Linked DNA regions of Daphnia pulex. The protein of the gene in region 2 purifies or fractionates together with the protein of the main gene of each other region. This does not show direct contact. Links are inferred from orthologs where the notes say so. Each region holds a gene or a part of one and is shown on either strand. Other genes may lie near its edges.

What was found.
Region 1: the proteins of 14-3-3 protein epsilon (region 2) and protein chibby homolog 1-like purify together in Homo sapiens (affinity purification with mass spectrometry; 3 studies listed by BioGRID and IntAct, with this or other methods). This does not show direct contact. The link is inferred for Daphnia pulex from reciprocal best matches to the Homo sapiens genes YWHAE and CBY1.

The regions. Positions count from the first base shown.
Region 1 is NC_060017.1:7,935,483-7,939,536, forward strand, and holds protein chibby homolog 1-like, read right to left. Parts: upstream 2,181-4,054; coding exon 1,773-2,180; intron 1,717-1,772; coding exon 1,603-1,716; 3' UTR 1,483-1,602; downstream 1-1,482. Other genes in the region: protoheme IX farnesyltransferase, mitochondrial-like, read left to right, coding at 14-441, 507-587, 644-819, 883-1,062, 1,127-1,437; thioredoxin, mitochondrial-like, read left to right, coding at 2,431-2,603, 2,680-2,803, 2,881-2,997; TM2 domain-containing protein 3-like, read right to left, coding at 3,090-3,203, 3,260-3,334, 3,395-3,610, 3,677-4,054. UniProt on the Homo sapiens protein: Inhibits the Wnt/Wingless pathway by binding to CTNNB1/beta-catenin and inhibiting beta-catenin-mediated transcriptional activation through competition with TCF/LEF transcription factors.
Region 2 is NC_060024.1:10,588,031-10,593,854, forward strand, and holds 14-3-3 protein epsilon, read left to right. Parts: upstream 1-1,982; 5' UTR 1,983-2,149; coding exon 2,150-2,213; intron 2,214-3,873; coding exon 3,874-4,073; intron 4,074-4,134; coding exon 4,135-4,241; intron 4,242-4,567; coding exon 4,568-4,705; intron 4,706-4,759; coding exon 4,760-4,974; intron 4,975-5,067; coding exon 5,068-5,129; 3' UTR 5,130-5,517; downstream 5,518-5,824. Other genes in the region: piwi-like protein Siwi, read left to right, coding at 1-138, 204-318, 399-728, 795-911. UniProt on the Homo sapiens protein: Adapter protein implicated in the regulation of a large spectrum of both general and specialized signaling pathways. Binds to a large number of partners, usually by recognition of a phosphoserine or phosphothreonine motif.

The DNA.
Region 1 (4,054 bases), on a different chromosome or scaffold from region 2:
GTTAGGTTTTAGAATGATTCGAGCCAGTTCATTATTAGTTACTGGTTGCCGAAGTACTTGGCTTCTGCAGAAATCAGTGGTTCACCGCCATGTAATGAGAGCAGCAGCATCAAAAAATCTTGAAGTTGTTACAATTGAAGATGTAACAAAGAAACCCCCATTAGTTGTGAGGACAGTTTTGCAAAGCAACCCAGCGCTTGGAACAAACCAAGATGTAGTGCATAGTGTTGCACAAGTTTCTGGGAAATCTCCCAGTGATCCTGCATTATTGACACCATCCAAACTGACAAATCATTATAGTTCTCTGGCCAAGTTTCGATTAACTGGACTTGTTGTGTGCTCCGCCGTGACTGGATATGCTATGGCGCCAATGCCAACTGACTTAACTACCTTGGGTCTTTGCCTTCTTGGTACGGCTTTGACTTCTGCTTCTGCAAACACGTAGGCTATTTACCATCTCATATATTTTATGTTGAATCATTTCTATAACTCTATGAACTGTGCAGGATCAATCAGTTTTTCGAGGTACCCTTCGATTCACAAATGGCAAGAACCAGCAATCGAGTATTGGTTCGTGGACTATTGAGGTAAATTTTCTCATCGGTCACGCAACAATATTATTATCTAAATGCTTTTTATTCAGCCCTTTGCACGCTGTGTCTTTTGCGGCTGTGAGTGGAACGACTGGTTTAATCATCTTGAATTATGGAGTCAACGGAGTGTGCGCGTCTTTGGGTGCTCTGACTTTGGCGTTGTACACATTGGTTTACACGCCAATGAAGCGATCTAGTATAGCTAATACGTGGGTCGGATCCATAGGTATGGCACGCTTTTCTTATCAATAGTTCATAAAATAAAATTTTTATAACGTTTTACAAATAGTTGGTGCCCTTCCTCCCCTGATGGGTTACGCTGGTTGCACTGGTTATCTAGACGCTGGCGCATTGGTATTGGGTGGAGTTTTATATGCCTGGCAATTTCCTCATTTCAATGCTTTATCGTGGAACCTTAGATCCGACTATTCCCGTGCTGGGTATAGAATGATGGCCGTCACAAATCCAGGTAGATGTAGTAACATGATAACGTTTATTGTCTCAGCTATAACCACCACCTTCAATTACTGTAGATCTCTGCCGGAGAACAACGTTACGACATACCGCTGCTTTGATAGGAATTTGTACGACCGCACCTGTTATTGGATTAACAACTTGGACGTTTGCTCTGGACTCTTTACCTATAAACATGTATTTTTTGTATTTAGCTTGGCGTTTTTATCGCCATTCGGATAGCTCTAGTTCTCGGAAACTTTTCCGAATGTCTTTGGCGCATTTGCCTATAATTATGATCCTTATGCTCGTTCACAAGAAGAGCGAGGACAGTGAAGACTGGCTGCTGAAAACAGTTCGTGGTCTCTATCCTTCTCTTACCCAAAGTTGATGCTCCTTGCAAATAGAACTTTTAAATAAAAGTGGACTAGTCGGACCAGTGTAAATACAGTATATTCAAGGAATGAATGATTATAAATTCCACAAATTAAAATGTTTGATTTTTAGGGTTTCACACAAAATTATATTTGCTTCAGTTTCCAGAGCTGAAAGTGTATTAAAATAACTTTCGTCCTCTAAAGGAACTCTTCTTCGAACTCTTGGTTTCGGTGGTGGTTTCATCAGGTACGTCCAGTGAGTTTAAATGAGCTTCTAAGGCTGTTTCTGTCAGCTAAATAATGATATAAATTAGTCATAGAAATTGTTTAAATCTAATGCAGAACTCACCATAGTCAACAGCAAATCTGCTTGAATTTTTAGATAATTGTTTTCTCCTTCAAGTTTCTGAAGTAAAGTGCTTGATTTTGCTTTGGCATTGGGAGCGGTGCTGATTGAAACCCACTTGGCGTTTTCAGAATTAAATTCAAACTGTTGGTTTTCTCCAAGATCCAGTTTCACCTTGTCTATTTGAATGCTAAATTCTCTCTCCAGTTGTAGCGCATCCATGTTCCGTCTGAGATTTGAAACAGTGGACGTTTTTCTTGCAGGGCATTTTTTTGGTTGAAATTTACTACGAAAAAGAGGCATTATTTGTAATCTGATACAACTATGAAAATCTTGTGTTTGAAACTTGGTTACCACGACGACCGCGCGTAATCGAAGGTTTCCAAAACAGGTGAAGTTGCGTAACCCCATTTCGTACGTACGTGCCACACTCCGTAGTCCGTACGATTCCCCCTACATTTCGATATCGTGTCCCAACGTTTTTCGTAATTGTAACTTCTACTCGGCTTATTTTTTTAGCTGAACTCTATTCGTTGCAAACTAGACATCTGATCAATGAGATAATCTAATTTACTCATTTTCTTTTTTTTGTTTGAAAAGGGGCAACGTTGTTTGCTTTCATACAACAAAAATTTATAACGTCATTCAATAGTTATTGAGAATGCAGCGTATAATTAAATTCAATCTAATCAGCCAAACTAGTTTTGTTGCTCGGCGGCCCATTTCTATCGGTCGAACAGCTAGCTTCCAATCATTCAATGTTCAGGATCAAGAAGATTTCCAGAAAAGAGTTTTAAATGCCTCCACGCCAGTCCTGGTTGACTTTCACGCCAAGTATGTCGCATTAACTTTTTGTTTTACATGTTTTTATTTACTTGTTGCATCATAAGTGTTCTTATTATCATACCAGATGGTGTGGACCATGCAAAACTTTAGGGCCAAGACTGGAGGCACTGGCTGCAGAAAAATTAGATAAGTTTCATCTTGCCAAAGTTGACATTGATAATGTCCCCGAGCTTGCAGAAGAATATAATGTATGTTTGCCCGATTACATAATTATAATTAAATCTATCCCAATCTTTAATAAAGACATTGTGAATTATTGTTTCAGGTCACTGCTGTACCATCAGTCATTGCTATCAAGGGAGGAAAAGTTGAAGGATCATTTGTTGGAGTTTTAGACGATGACAAGCTCAGAGCATTCGTCAACAAATTGATTGGAGAATGATCTATGTTAACAATTGTATGATGTAGGGGGGAATTACACAGTTTCATGATAATTTTTTATTTCTCAGTACACAAGTTATATATTCTTCTATTCTACAAAAACACAGATCCATCAGCTGGTTTGAGGTAACCAACAGCTACTAATATCACATCAATCAAAGTCCATACTCCAGCTCCTCCAAAACTAAACAACTTGCCAATCCCTTCCTAAAAATTTAGAAAAATTAGCTGTTGAATGCAACTTCTTGTTTAAAGGAATTCACCTGCCAGTGACCAAGGTAGAACCTATCAGCTCCAAAACCACCTAAGGTAATGCTCAACAGTAGAGTTGTAGTCCACTAGCAAACAGAAAAATTTAAAAAAATATGATACATTTAGTATTAATTAACATTTATTACCTTGTATCCAGATGTCCAATTGCATCTAATATTTTTGAAAAATGTCCTCTGTCCTAAACACAAGACATGTGGTTTTGCAGTGCAGTTGGATCTGTAGTTTTGAACTGGGTTAGCTGGTGTGTTACAGTAGCTGCCTGTTGCATTGCAGGAATGATCTTCTGGAGAAGTCTGGTAACAATATTGACATCTCATAGTTTTCTCAAATACTTTAGGACCCTGTTGATTTAAAAAAACTTACTTAAATCTAAAAATATAGTTAAAATTTGCTTTAGTAATGCATACATCACATTTTGGAATAGCTTGGCAACTGACATTTACCAAGTTACCATAGATACATGTAAAATTGAACTTGCAGATTATGCAATCAGCAGGTAATGAATGGCACTCCCTATCAATTGGGCATATTGAATTGGAAATATGCCATGGTATTACTCTTTCGTTCAAAATTTCAATCGTTTGCTCATGAAGGAAATTATTTGCTAGTCCCACGTCCGTAACGTTATCTTCTTTCGGTATTGTTTCACATGATTCCTGTAGGCAAGCTTCTTCTGTCTGATTATTCGTACTCGAATTATTGAACTCATCCGTCGTTTTTGTAGGAATAGAACACAATAGTAAACATAATAACAGTAGTTGTAGTTTACTGACATTTTTTGACAT
Region 2 (5,824 bases):
ACGTCAAAGAAAAGCTGTCGGTGCATTTGTTGCATCCATCAACCCGACCTTCTCGCGTTACTATTCTTCTGTGAAAATTCATGAAAACAATGAAGAAATTTCACCCAGCTTCAAAGATCATCTCTTTGGCGCACTCAAGTATGTTTTATTATGCTTTCTTTGTTCCGTGCAAAATAATATCTCTTTTTCATTCGCACAATTAGATCTTATTACATCATGAACGAAAAAACATTGCCGGAAAAAATCATTGTCTACCGTGACGGTGTCGGTGCTGGAGACATTGCGCGACTGAAGGATACGGAAGTGGCGGCACTGAGGGTAATAATGATGAGTGACGGTCTGTGGGAAGATTTTGAGGCTCGTTTTTCTATACAATTATCATTTTTTGGCTTGAGTAGGAGGCTTGTTCCGATGCTGGTGCTCGAACAAATTACCTCGGGACTGGTGTGTATAATCCACCCATTGCGTTCATTGTCGTAAGCAAGCGGATCAACACGCGATTTTTCGCCATGGGACAACGTGGAGCGAGCAACCCTCCTTGCGGCACGGTTGTCGACAATAAAGTGACGCTCAATGAGAGATTCGACTTCTTCCTGGTGTCTCAAAAAGTTACGCAAGGTACCGTTTCTCCCACCAGCTACAATGTTATTGAAGATGACACTGGAATCGCCCCTGATATTCACCAGCGACTGGCTTATGCTCTTACCCATCTTTACTACAATTGGCCTGTAAGTTTTTTTATTTTTATTGTCTATTTTATTCAGAATTGAATTTAACCAATTTGTTCATTTAAGGGTACCCTGCGTATTCCAGCGCCCATCCAGTATGCGCACAAGTTGGCGTACCTTGTTGGTGAATCAATGATGACGCAACCGCATGAAGGACTGAATCGACTTCCTTATTACCTTTGAATTACCTTTCATTTATTTTCTCCCTAAGTTTTGTCATTTTTAACGTATTAATTTGTTCACTCATAAGAAAAAAACTAAAAGACGACGAGACATGCCTCACTCGCACGATTTTCGAATGACGCCAAAAATATTTTTCTTGAGTTTGTTTGCAATGGCGGATATCGACAATGGAAGTGTTTTTCATGCAATTTTTTTTTCTGTTTCACCTTCATGGGCCATGTCAGAAGTGTGATAATGAACGCCCCTTTGTGCCATGTTGTATGTAATCAAGGAATGAGTAATAAACCTTTGTTTTTAAATGAAGTAGATTTATTGACTTTCGTGTGGTGAGTTTTTATATGATGAAATAAACATGAGTTGCAATGGAATTCGCGTTGAGATGGCATTGACGGAAAAGCTCTACGTGTGCAATGCACATAGCACATTAGGTGTTTCGAAAGCACTGAGGAAAACAAAAGAATGTGGCATCGCTGCTTGGCAGGCGTGGTCAAGCTGACAGCTGTATCGAGAAGAATGCAGGCCTGCAAGGCCAACAAGGGTACGTCTGGGCAGGATCGTCTGGGCTTCCTCGATAGTCAACTTTCAGGTCCGCAAAAGCCAAAAGAACTCGCAAGTCATTGAATTGCTAATTGTCCACTAGAGACACCATGCGGCTGTCTCTTTTGTAACCAAGGGATCTCAATCGTCCCACAGCGAACTAAATCGTTTATAAAAATTATTTCAATACTATAAAATGACTTGATTTCATAACTTGAAGCTTTTTAAAAACACGATAAAATAATATTTACGTAACAAAATAGATGGTTGCTAGACATCCAATAATGAATTCACAAAAAGTATGCATAGAATCAAATGATTAGAATGAACATGTCATTACTCGGATAATAGAAAATTTGAATAAAAGTTTTATTTCATAAGAATTAATTAAATACCTAAAAGATTAGACAGCCCCCAAAGGTGTTTGGCCTTGTATAGATGTCAGCACTGTACGCTGCTAGATGCATAGGTAATAAGAAACGAGATCTGGCAATCTGGCCTCTTCCCATCCCATCGACTCTCGCTGGCATTTTCCGCTTTAGCTACAGGGCAAAGCATTCTAGCAAGCGTACGGTGGAGTCTCAGTTGCTAGCTACACTCTTTGGTCTTAGTCGAGACAATTCGAGGCAGGTTCCGATTCCAACGGTCTCGCTTTTGTTTCTTTATCCAGTGACATCTGCTTATAGTTTATTCCAGCAGCCATGGCAGACAGAGAGGATAACGTTTACAAGGCAAAACTCGCCGAACAAGCCGAAAGATACGATGGTACGTAAATGTCATTTAAATGTAAAATCGAAAAAAAGAATGAAGTTTCATTTCCTCTGTGTCTCTATGACTGTGCATCTCTGTGGGTAAAACCGAACGAGACGGTAGGCGGCTTTGAAAAAAGGCTTGGGCGTTTGACAGACTTATGACGTTTTGACTTTTTGTCTTTTTTCTTGTACATTCGGTTGTGTAATGGGGAAATTCAGCGGCGTCCCCCCTCTTAGTGTTGGCTTGAATACTTTCGATCAATATGACACTCGTACTTGAGGTTCATTTTTCCTGACAATTCCATTTTATCAAGTATAGTATAATCTCAGCCATGTTTTCTAGAATCTCTTTTGAGGGTTTTTGTCGCAGTACGAAATAAAAAAAAAGTAATTCTGGGTGTGTGTCCGGTGTGTGTGTGTATCTCTGGGTGGTTTTCCTCGAAACCTACCGCTACGTAACGAGATGACTTGGATCAATGAGTCATGAGAGAGAGAGAGAGAGAGCAGAGACTTTGGACTGTCTCTTTGTATACTTGCTTTCCAATAACTTTTTTATTCTCTTTTTCGTGAAAAATACGTAGTCGTTTCTATTCAACTTGGGCCTCTCACCATTGCGCATCACCAAGGCGACGGATCTCTTCAAAACGACGCTCGGTAGAGTACCCCACCCTTATGTGCGTGATGCGTTGGGGGTCCTGGCTACGTTGATGAAAACGTGCCGTCTAAAAAAGCTTCTCTCTCTCTCTCTCTCTCGAGGACATCAAAAAGGAAACCGTTCACACAACAATGGCCGCCTGTGATGGTTAATTTTCTCTTCTATATTTTTCTCTCGACTCTTCTGTCTGCGGCTTACAAAAACCAAGAATCGGTCAAGCTCTGACAGTGGGCGGAGAAACCCGATGGAAAATTAGCCACCATTTTTATTTTTCGTCTTTTTCCTTTAGGAAAATATTCCAACTGGTATGAATGGGGCGTTTTTCTATTTCCACATATTTTCGAAAAAATAGTTGTCGCACGTGACGCGTCTCGTGCCTTTTGTCGTTGTAGAAAAAAAAAATTAGTTTTTATATTTTTAACTTTATTCCCCCCCCCCCCCTTCACGTTTCAATGATGGAGGGAAGTTGGAAAGAAGAGAAAATGCGGTGTGGGTGTGTCGCCCTAGAACCTGTCATTACGCCACTGCGATGTGAATCCAAGTGGAGAGCCTGTCCGTGCATACAACTCGATCGTCTGGTTATTATTATTTCCCTGAATTCAAACATGTACGCCCAGCTGGAGAAACTTTTATTTTTCAATTCCTCCCTTAGAAAAAAAGAGGACACACATAGTTTTGTGTGTGTGTGCGTAACGTCAACTCGGTTTGCCCCTGTACTTTTCCTTCCTTCCGCCGTGGGGATGCTGATGTTGGGGGTTATATGACGACTGCGACGTGCTGGATGTGTGGAGAGCGGGCGGAACTAGGCGGTAGCGTGTTTCCTCCCGTGGCCGTTATTGATCCGCTACTTGAAAAGTCGCTCGAGTGTGGGGGGTGGGGTAGACAGGGAGATGGGGGGGAAAGAAGGCAAAGCCTTTATGTCTGAAAGTGTATCTATCTTTTTCTGTCCAAAAGAGAAAGGGATCCTCTGACAAGTTTCTTTGGCTAAGACTATATGATAATCTGTTTGTTGATGCAGAAATGGTCGAGTCCATGAAAAAGGTGGCGTCGATGGACGTCGAGTTGACTGTCGAGGAGCGGAATCTGCTGAGCGTGGCTTACAAAAATGTGATCGGCGCTCGTCGTGCATCTTGGCGCATCATCTCGTCCATTGAACAGAAAGAGGAGAACAAGGGAGCCGAAGATAAACTTGAACTCATCCGCAATTACCGCAATCAGGTATGGATAATGTATTCAAATTTTATTCATTGATTTGTGCCTTTATCTGTTTTGTCTATAGGTCGAGAAAGAGCTGAAGGACATTTGCTCTGATATTTTGAGCGTCCTCGAGAAGCATCTCATCCCATCAGCCACCACTGGAGAATCTAAAGTCTTTTACTACAAAATGTAAATCGATTTTTGCTTGGCCTTTTTTTTTTCAATCTTGCGAGTAGTAGTTGGACATTCCTATTAAATGCACCGGTGGATTTCTCTCAAAGTCCTTGAGACTCGAGCGTCTGTGATTTCGAATTCTACTCGTGTTTCGCTTTGAGAGAAAAGAAAAAGTGTCGTTACTATCTCTACCAAACGTGTACACAATTTTATCGTACGTAAACGTTGCGCCAAGCGCAACTTTGTGTGCGCGCAGACATGTTGTGGATGGATGGCCTGGTATTGATTATTGACGATTTTACACAACTCCCTTCCTCTGCTTTTGTCGTTGTGTTATACAGGAAGGGTGATTACCATCGGTATTTGGCCGAATTTGCGACAGGAAATGACCGAAAGGAAGCTGCAGAGAACTCGTTGATGGCTTACAAAGCCGCCTCCGACATTGCCATGACGGAATTACCCCCCACCCATCCCATCAGGTAACTTAACTAACAATTTGTTGCCGATCCTCAACTTAACTTTATCATTTGTAGATTGGGATTGGCCTTGAACTTTTCCGTCTTTTATTACGAAATCCTCAACTCTCCGGACCGAGCGTGCCGGTTAGCCAAGGCAGCTTTCGATGACGCCATCGCTGAGCTCGACACCCTTTCGGAGGAGTCGTACAAGGACTCGACGCTCATCATGCAGCTCTTGAGGGACAACTTGACCCTCTGGACTTCCGACATGCAGGGCGATGGAGAAGCTGGTTAGTAGAGCAACAGCTAATTGATTTTTGTCCAATCACGCCAACAGGACTTGTGTGTGTTAATAATTAAAATTTCCTTTTTTAAAAAAATTGATCAAGGAGATGGTGAACCAAAAGCGGAAGTCGCAGACGTTGAGGACCAAGACGTCTCCTAATCGGCGATGTAATTTGTATTGATGTGTTTTTTTTTCTTAAGTCCTACATGATTTGTTCAATTTTTTCATTATATTATTAATTTTTTTTTTTCAACAAAAAAAAAAGTAATCCGGAAATCCACCACCTATGTTTCCTTTACTCTTATCTGTCTCCCATTCGCTCCCCCTCCCTCTAATTGTTCATCCCGCGCTCTTCATCGAACACTGGAAACTGCATTACAACAATTACCGAAACGGTTTGCATGGACACGTGTATAACTCCTCAAAAACAAAACAAACAAAAAATAATTAATAAGCAAAGGCTGTGTGTGGTTTTTGTTGTCATTCCCGTTGTCCCTGCCCTCTGTCTCTCTTTAATTTCCAATAATCATTTCCGTTATCTCTTGGATCTTCCTCGTCGTTTTATTCGTCGAAGATCCAGCGTGCCCGCACACACACACACACAGACGATACACAACACACTCACAGTTTCAATTTCTCTTCGGAATTTTTCTCTCTCTCTCTCTGCGATGTAGTCTGGCGTCACACAAGACTTCACGTGTAACCTTTTAAAACAAAAGCTGCTGTTGTCTTTTCAACTTTTCTGTAAAACTGCCGCGATTTCTTCATTTCCTCAAATTTGTATCAAATGGGATTGAATTTTCTACCAGGGGCTACTAGAGAGAGGAAAGCTGAAGAATTCGAGTAGAGGTAAC